Coturnix japonica: one gene and its partner. The protein of the gene in region 1 interacts with the protein of each later gene in a biochemical or structural test. Links are inferred from orthologs where the notes say so. Each region holds a gene or a part of one and is shown in the gene's direction. Other genes may lie near its edges.

What was found.
Region 2: the proteins of ARHGEF12 (region 1) and IGF1R form a complex in vitro, tested with the Homo sapiens proteins (2 studies listed by BioGRID and IntAct, with this or other methods). The link is inferred for Coturnix japonica from reciprocal best matches to the Homo sapiens genes ARHGEF12 and IGF1R.

What each region holds. Positions count from the first base shown.
Region 1 is NC_029539.1:3,194,343-3,198,037, reverse strand, and holds the start of ARHGEF12 (rho guanine nucleotide exchange factor 12), read left to right. Parts: upstream 1-819; 5' UTR 820-1,335; coding exon 1,336-1,367; intron 1,368-3,695. UniProt on the Homo sapiens protein: May play a role in the regulation of RhoA GTPase by guanine nucleotide-binding alpha-12 (GNA12) and alpha-13 (GNA13). Acts as guanine nucleotide exchange factor (GEF) for RhoA GTPase and may act as GTPase-activating protein (GAP) for GNA12 and GNA13.
Region 2 is NC_029525.1:15,115,464-15,119,115, reverse strand, and holds part of IGF1R (insulin-like growth factor 1 receptor), read left to right. Parts: intron 1-857; coding exon of another isoform or gene 858-860; coding exon 861-963; intron 964-2,293; coding exon 2,294-2,364; intron 2,365-2,850; coding exon 2,851-3,080; intron 3,081-3,366; coding exon 3,367-3,477; intron 3,478-3,652. UniProt on the Homo sapiens protein: Receptor tyrosine kinase which mediates actions of insulin-like growth factor 1 (IGF1). Binds IGF1 with high affinity and IGF2 and insulin (INS) with a lower affinity. The activated IGF1R is involved in cell growth and survival control.

The sequences.
Region 1 (3,695 bases):
TCCTCCTGAGCTGAGATGTTCCAGGCTCTAATAGCTGGGATAGAGTGCTGGGATTCAGCCCCATAGCTTTAATGGGGGTCCAGGTTCAGATGGCAGCACTAACCCTAATTGTGGGGCACTGCAGCCACAAACCAAAATCCATTCGAATTGCTACCGCCCAGCATAATTGCTTATTGATTCCCCCCAAAGAATTAAAGCAATAAAGAAGTGCTGAGGCCTAATATGTCAATGCCAACCAGTGAGATGGATCTCCCAACCCTCTTTGGGTGCACAGAGGGGTTTATTGCATTGAAGGTGCAGAAATGAGCTGTAATGGGTACGGGCTCTCAGTGTTGGAGGTTCTGATGGATTCACGTCAGCACTCTCCTATTTTTCCTCTTTCTCCCCCCAAAAGGAAGCCGGGGAAGGAAGCACAGATTGCTCAGTACCATTTACACCATGATTTCATCCCACTTCCCCTCTTTACACCAAACTTCTCCAAAACAACAAAGCTCTCCCATCCTCCGGCACCTCTCACTTCTCTCCCTACATCCTCAACACCCCGAATTGGGGCAAAACCATTCCATTTCCAACCAGAAAGCTGCAGAATTACCTATATTTAGGAAGCCATACTTCACAAGGACCGAAAGAAATCTCCATCATCTCCTTCTCCAGAAAGTTTTATTTCAACTCCATCTTCAAAATGACTCTTTCGTGCCTCTTATGCTTTACTTTGAAGGTTGCTTTGGAGATAATTACCCAGATAATATGACAAGTCGGATTTCTTTAAGCAGGCGGAGGGATACAGCGGAGGAGGAGTTATTTTACCTCTCTCAGCGCAGGCTCCGTCTCTCCCAGCCGCCGGAACAGGAGGGGCGCGGCTCGCTGTGTGTCCCTCAGCCCAGCAGGACTTTGCCCGTAGAAACACAGGCCGAAAAGAGAACGGGGACATCGGGCTTCTCTGCGCTACGAGCCGGCCATGGCCCCCAGGGCCTAAAGGAGGCGGCAGGCAGCGGCCTAACCCCCCCCGCCCTGCCCGCCCCGCTCGGGCCGACCGGCGGGCGGTGGGTCGGGGCGGGCGGTTGCGGGTATGGGCGGCCTGCAGGGAGCACCGCACAGCGAGCGGAGCTTCCCTTGTTTGTGGGCTTTTTGATGAAGTTTGGCGTTGTTTTTTTTTCCCTTTGGATATTTAGTACGCCAAAAGTTGGGGATTTTTTATTTTTTTTCCCCTTTTTTTCTGTTTTTTTTTTTTTGCCCTTTTCTGAGGTGTTTTTCTCAGTGCGGGGGCCGCACTGACAGCCCCGCAGTGATCGTACCATGTAAATTGGATAACACGAGCTCTGGGCAGAGGCTCCAATGAGTGGCACACAGCCCGCAACCACGGACAGGTCAGTAGTTGGGAATCGCTCTTATTCCGGGCTTTGATTCGGGTGACAGCGCTTAAAGATGGGCTCTGAAAGCGAGATGGGATGGGGGGTTTATAGGGGTTGCTTTGGGATGTGTAGGGCTTCTGTCCTGCTGTTTCTTGGTGTCTTATAGAGTCGGTAGAGCAACTAGCACTGAGTGCTGCCCATAGATGTGCAGCCATCCATCCCTGCTGCAGCTGGGGTCAGCCCAGGTGAGGCTGCACTGTGCCCCTCCTGCCTTCCATAGCTTATCATTGGGAGGGTGGAAGAATGGGTTTTCTATCTCAAAGACACATCAGTGGCGTGGGGATGGGGCTATAGGTGCCATAGGGAGCTTGTGGTGAGCTGGGGGCCACATCCATGCTTCACATGTGTCCCTTCTGATGGGTTTTGTGCTGGGAGATGAGCTGGATAAAGACACCGAGCCTTTTTTCCCCTCTGTCACAGTGTATATGTATTAATATAGGCAGGTATGTGTTCCTGAGTTGCAGGCTGCTATCACATGTGTGAGACAGGTTAGAGCAGCATTGGGATTCTTATAAGCAGGGCGGCTGAGCGCTGCGTGAGGATGGAGAGCTGAACTCGCTGCTTGGGAACAACAAAATACTTTCCATTATTGAATTGGAATGGGCAAATTGAAAACGGAGCACAGCCCAAAAGGGGGGGGGGGGGAAGAAGTCTCCATTTCCTTTTGCGTTCGGTCACGTGGAGGGGATGTTTGTGTTCAGTGCTGTGCTCAGAGGACCTTTAATGCCAGGTAAGGTGCCCAATATCTGTATTGCCTCTTTACGTCTGGCTCTCGAGGGTGGAATAGAAAGCAGGTGCAATAGAAATAAACCTGACGCTTTGGGTGTCGTTAGAGCCGCACATGTCATGTGATGGGGTTAATTCTCCCTTTATTTATCAGTGACCTTCCTCAGGTTGGGAGCTGCCTTAAGAACATAACAACAAAACTCAGCTTGCATCTGTGCCAAAGGTGTTTGGAGCATAACACAGGGCCTGCTCTTTTCTCCACGTGAGCTTTGAATACTTGTCTTAAGAGTCTACACAAACCTATAAGGCAGCAGGTTGCACTTGTCCCATCCTCAGTGTGTCCTGTGTCTTCTTGGAGGTGGTGTGATGTATGGCAGTAAAGCACACGTGAATCAGAAGGGAAGTAAAAATGGCCATTGCTGGTGGTGTGATAAATGGCATTCTCATTAATGGGATTTCTATTTGGTCTCGTGGTGTTTGCTTCTTTTTCCCAGTGGATCTCAGTATCTGAGACTGAAATTGTCTGATAGGGGCCATTCCTGACCAGCTCCTCTGCTGCTGGAGATAGAAGGTGATCTTATAAAGTAATTCTAGAGGTTAGAAATGAACACACGAGCAGAAAGCAGCCCATGATGGCAGTGGTGTGAGCAGTGCAGGGTTCCCAGCCCTCACATTCACTTCCTCCTTCTCTCAGGAAGTTCTTTGACTTTCTCAGCTGCTGCTTTTCATAACCCAGCAGCTCGGATCTCACGGTTCATCTGCAGCCTCACTGCTCTGACGCTTCGTGTTTGCAAACACTTACACCCTCTTAATGTAATACTCTCCTTGCTGAGCTTGTGTTTGTTCAGAGGGTGGCATTTCTCTTAAGCCAGTAAGTCTTGGGGTGGGCATCTGCACTTGGGCTCTTAAAGTTGATGAGGGAAAACAGGGCCATTGAGGGGACATACAGGAGGTGTCAGGGGTTGATAGAGCACCTTCTCTTCCATTCTGGATACAGGAGGGGTTTGCTGTGCTCCTGTCTTATTACTTGGCTGCATTTCTAGTGCTGGGGTTGGAGATGGGGTCAGTCTGTGCTCTGAGGACCCCACAGTGGGTACAGCATTGGGCTGCCAGTGCTGGAGGGGGGCTGTGTGCCATGGGGAGGGGGCTGCCCCACTGTGCTGCCTTGGGGCATTGCTGGTGATGCATGGAGGGGTGAGATAAGGGCTGTGTTCTTTGCAAGGGCGTGCTGGGCTGGGATGGAGCTCAGCCATTTGCAGGCTCTGGTTGGTTGCTGAAGGATGATCACGCTGCTGCTATATCCTGTTATGACACCGAAGAAACATTAGTGTGCCATTAATATATATGTATGTTTGTCTCACAGTGTTTTTTTCTCCCTGTAATAGTTCTAAATGTGCTGCAGAGTGAAGCAATTGCTGGGTGCAGGACTCACCCCTGCTCTCTGCTGGAGCTCTCTGAAGGATGGATGCTCTTAGAGCATCTTGTGGGGCACTGGGAGCCTTTCTCAGTTGCCTTCCAATGGGTTTTATTTATAACAGCCCCATAGTTTCTGTTGCT
Region 2 (3,652 bases), on another chromosome or scaffold:
TGGCTGTGTCAAACTGGGGACTTGCCTTTTTGAATAGTCCTAAGGTTTACATTACTGTGAATACTCCTGCCTGTTGATGCACACTGCTGCCACTCCCTTTGATGTCCACCTTATAGCCCAGTGTAATGTTAGGAGTTAAATACTGGAGCTGAATGGTGCAGAACCTGTGATAATCACCTACTTTGAGTTACAAAGTGATGTAAGAACCAGTGATTTGCTAAGAATATGGCCTGGCAGATTTTATTTAACTCAGTATGATTTTTTGTACTTTAGAATTGATGTTAGGAATGTTGTGATAAAGACTGATGAAAGAGGGATACTGCCCCTGAGAATGGCAGCGATTCAGGTTTTGGAATAGCTCTGTACAGGGTACACAGAGACCATCTCGGGAACATCTGTGTTTAGCTGAAAATCAGCTGTGTCCACAGAAAGTCAGCCTCCATCTTTTATTCATTCTTGTTTTTCTAATTGTCGGAATCTGATGAACCAACGTGAATATCTTCTGAAGTACGAGCAATGGCAAGGTGAACAAAAGGTGGTGGAAAATAAAGGTTGATATACAAGTGAACAGCTCAGTATTGTTCACTAAGGAATGTAAGTCTTCAAGCATAACATGTGAAACCAAACTCCTGACAGACGCTGTTCTGTACAAAGCTGAGGCTTTTCACTCTCTGTTCTCTTATTCCACTCATCTGCAGTCAGGGCGTGTTTCTGAGTACATTTTTCCACATCAGACAAGAAAATGAGTACTTTGATTTCTCCCATGTATGGAAATATACTGAGTGGGTTTTGAATGTTTCTTTGTTAATGGAGATTTTATAGAAACCTTAATACAATTGTTTTCTTGTTGGTTGCAGCAGCAAACTATGACAACTTCCTCCATTTGATAATTGTGCTCCCCATTGCTTTCCTGCTCATCATTGGGGGTTTGCTGATAATGCTGTATGTCTTTAACAAGAAGAGGTGAGTTACACTTGTGGTTAAAGCCAAACTGTAGGAAGGGAATGCTTATTTTCAAATCTGTGTCTGTGGAGCAAGTTAGAAAATAAGAAGTGAAATAGCTTTCAGAGTACTTGAGAAGCTAAAGTGGATTCTGCCTTGTTGGTGTGTAGAAGGAGGTGGTGTAGAGTTACCAGCCATTATCTGCCTGCTGCTTGGGATTCAAAGGGGCTTTTTATTACAGGATCGTGTTTGAAAGGGCAGAAGAAGGGTTGTCAGGAACTGGGACAGTGATGGCAGATGCTGAACCTTTATAATCAGGTGCTTTGAAATGCAGGTTGCTCTGTAAACTTCACTCACATGAGATTAATTTGGTTTCTTGCAGATTCTGAAGTTGTTTTATTTTTCAGTTCCTTCCATACACATACAAATATTTATATGCTGGACAGAACACTCAATTGATTTGATTTCCTTAGTATTGTACTTTAATAACTAGGGATTTTTTTTTAATGTAATTGAAATACATAATGAGAACTTAGCAGAAGTCAGTGCAAATGTTCAGTCTTGCAACTTTTTAAGCATGCAGGCTTTTGTTACACATACTTTTAAATTATGCCCATTGAGTGTCCCAGCTCTCATCCCTTTGTGTGCACGCTGTCATCCCAGTTCCCAAGCACTACAGAAACGGCTTTGCCTCTAGTGAAGTGAGGTACCTGCTGGCCTTCCCATGTCCTTTTCAGAGTGGAGCAACTGATACCCCATCCTTCTTTAAGCTGTTGTTCTAGCACACAAAAATGTTTTCTTTGGTTTTCTGAGGTCTGATTATTAATTTTATTTGTACAGCTTTGCCCCCTGCAAGAACTCCTACAACTCTCAATAAACGTCTTATTCTGAAAATCACACCAGGAAAGTAAAATAATAGAAGCAATTTATAAAGTAGTGGAACAGAAACCCGAATGAAAAAAAACACCTTGTTCTTTGCTAGCTCACTTCTGCCTCACAGTAAAAAGCAGGTGATGTTAAAGCCATACGTCTCCTGGGTGTATCAGTGCACAGCTGCCTTTCTTAAAGGAAGTTTGCCTAGCAGCTGAAAGTACCGTGTGTTTACACTTCTCTGTACCACATCAGCAGCAGAGAAGACTGCAGGTTTCTTGGGAAAAATGTTCTGAGCTGTTTTCCCACTGATTATGTGAAGTAGAATAAGAACGTGATTTGTCTTCTTTCTCTGAAAAGCTCTCCACCTACAGTAAATACTTCGTGATTGAGCAAACAGTGGAAAAGCTGTAGAATAGGCAGTCTGCAATTACTTGAGCTCAAAGATTAAAAAAGAAAAAAAAATAATGTATTTCAACAGGAACAGTGACAGACTGGGCAACGGAGTGCTGTATGCGTCTGTGAACCCTGAGTACTTCAGTGCTTCGGACGGTAAGTGTGGGCTGAGCCTCTGTGCTCTCAGTTCTGTGTGCTCTGTTTGTGTCTGGTTTGGGAAGGTATGAAACACTGACAAAGGGATGTGGTAAAACCTCTTTCTCTTCATTGTATCTGCACACCCATAGTTAATTAATAGGCAGTTGTATGTGAATGTTGTCTGCCTATTGAAAGCGGGGAGTTTCTGAAGTTTTTCCTGTAGTTTATTCAGCTGAGATTAACTTGGGTGGGTTTCCTGAATTACCCTGGTTGTGAGCAGTAGGTTTCTTATTTTTTATCCCATTCTGCCAGTCCCTTTGCATTCTTTTAAGGTTCCTTTTAAGATGTATTTGTGTGCTAAGTATCATTTTTACATGCATGATTCAGGGTCGTAAAATGATGTCCAGCTTTGCTTACAGTAAAGTTGTTCAGACAGTTGATATCATAAAGCAATCCCAGTAGTTAGGAAAACAGAATGTGATGGCATGTTCTCTCTCTGCTTAGTGTACGTTCCAGATGAATGGGAGGTGCCCCGCGAGAAGATCACGATGTGCCGGGAGCTTGGGCAAGGCTCCTTTGGGATGGTGTATGAGGGAATAGCCAAGGGAGTGGTGAAGGATGAGCCGGAGACCCGGGTGGCCATCAAAACGGTCAATGAGTCTGCAAGCATGCGTGAGAGAATAGAGTTCTTAAACGAGGCCTCTGTGATGAAGGAGTTCAATTGTCACCATGTGGTAAGTCTTGAACCTGTAACGAGATGGACTGATAAGGCCGTGGTGCTTTAACAGCAGGAGGGTGTTCGGGGCATGTCCTCACTGGCTGAAGGGGTGCTTGGGTTTTAGCTTCAACTCATAAGCATTAGAATACTGCTGTTCAGCAGGAGTCAGAGAGAAAGCAAGTCTGCTTCCAGACATTTCCTACTGTTTCATGGGTGTCTGGGGCTATGTATCACATGAATAAATGCTTACTGCAGTTCAGTTAGTGGGATCTGTAGCTGAGCGTTTGTTTTTCCTCTTCCAGGTTCGCCTGCTAGGTGTTGTTTCTCAGGGCCAGCCTACCCTAGTTATCATGGAGCTGATGACACGTGGGGACCTCAAAAGTTATCTGAGATCATTGAGGCCAGACACAGAGGTGAGTCATGACTTGTTTTATTATTATTTCTTCACTCAAAATCATCTTGAGCAAAAAGGCATCATGTCAGAAGCAGCAGGCAATTAGCCTTTCTTGCCCTTGTCCTTAAGCTCTAAGAACAAAACACGCTGCCCTGTGATCTGCACCACCTTTTTTTTATGAGTTAGTTACTGCA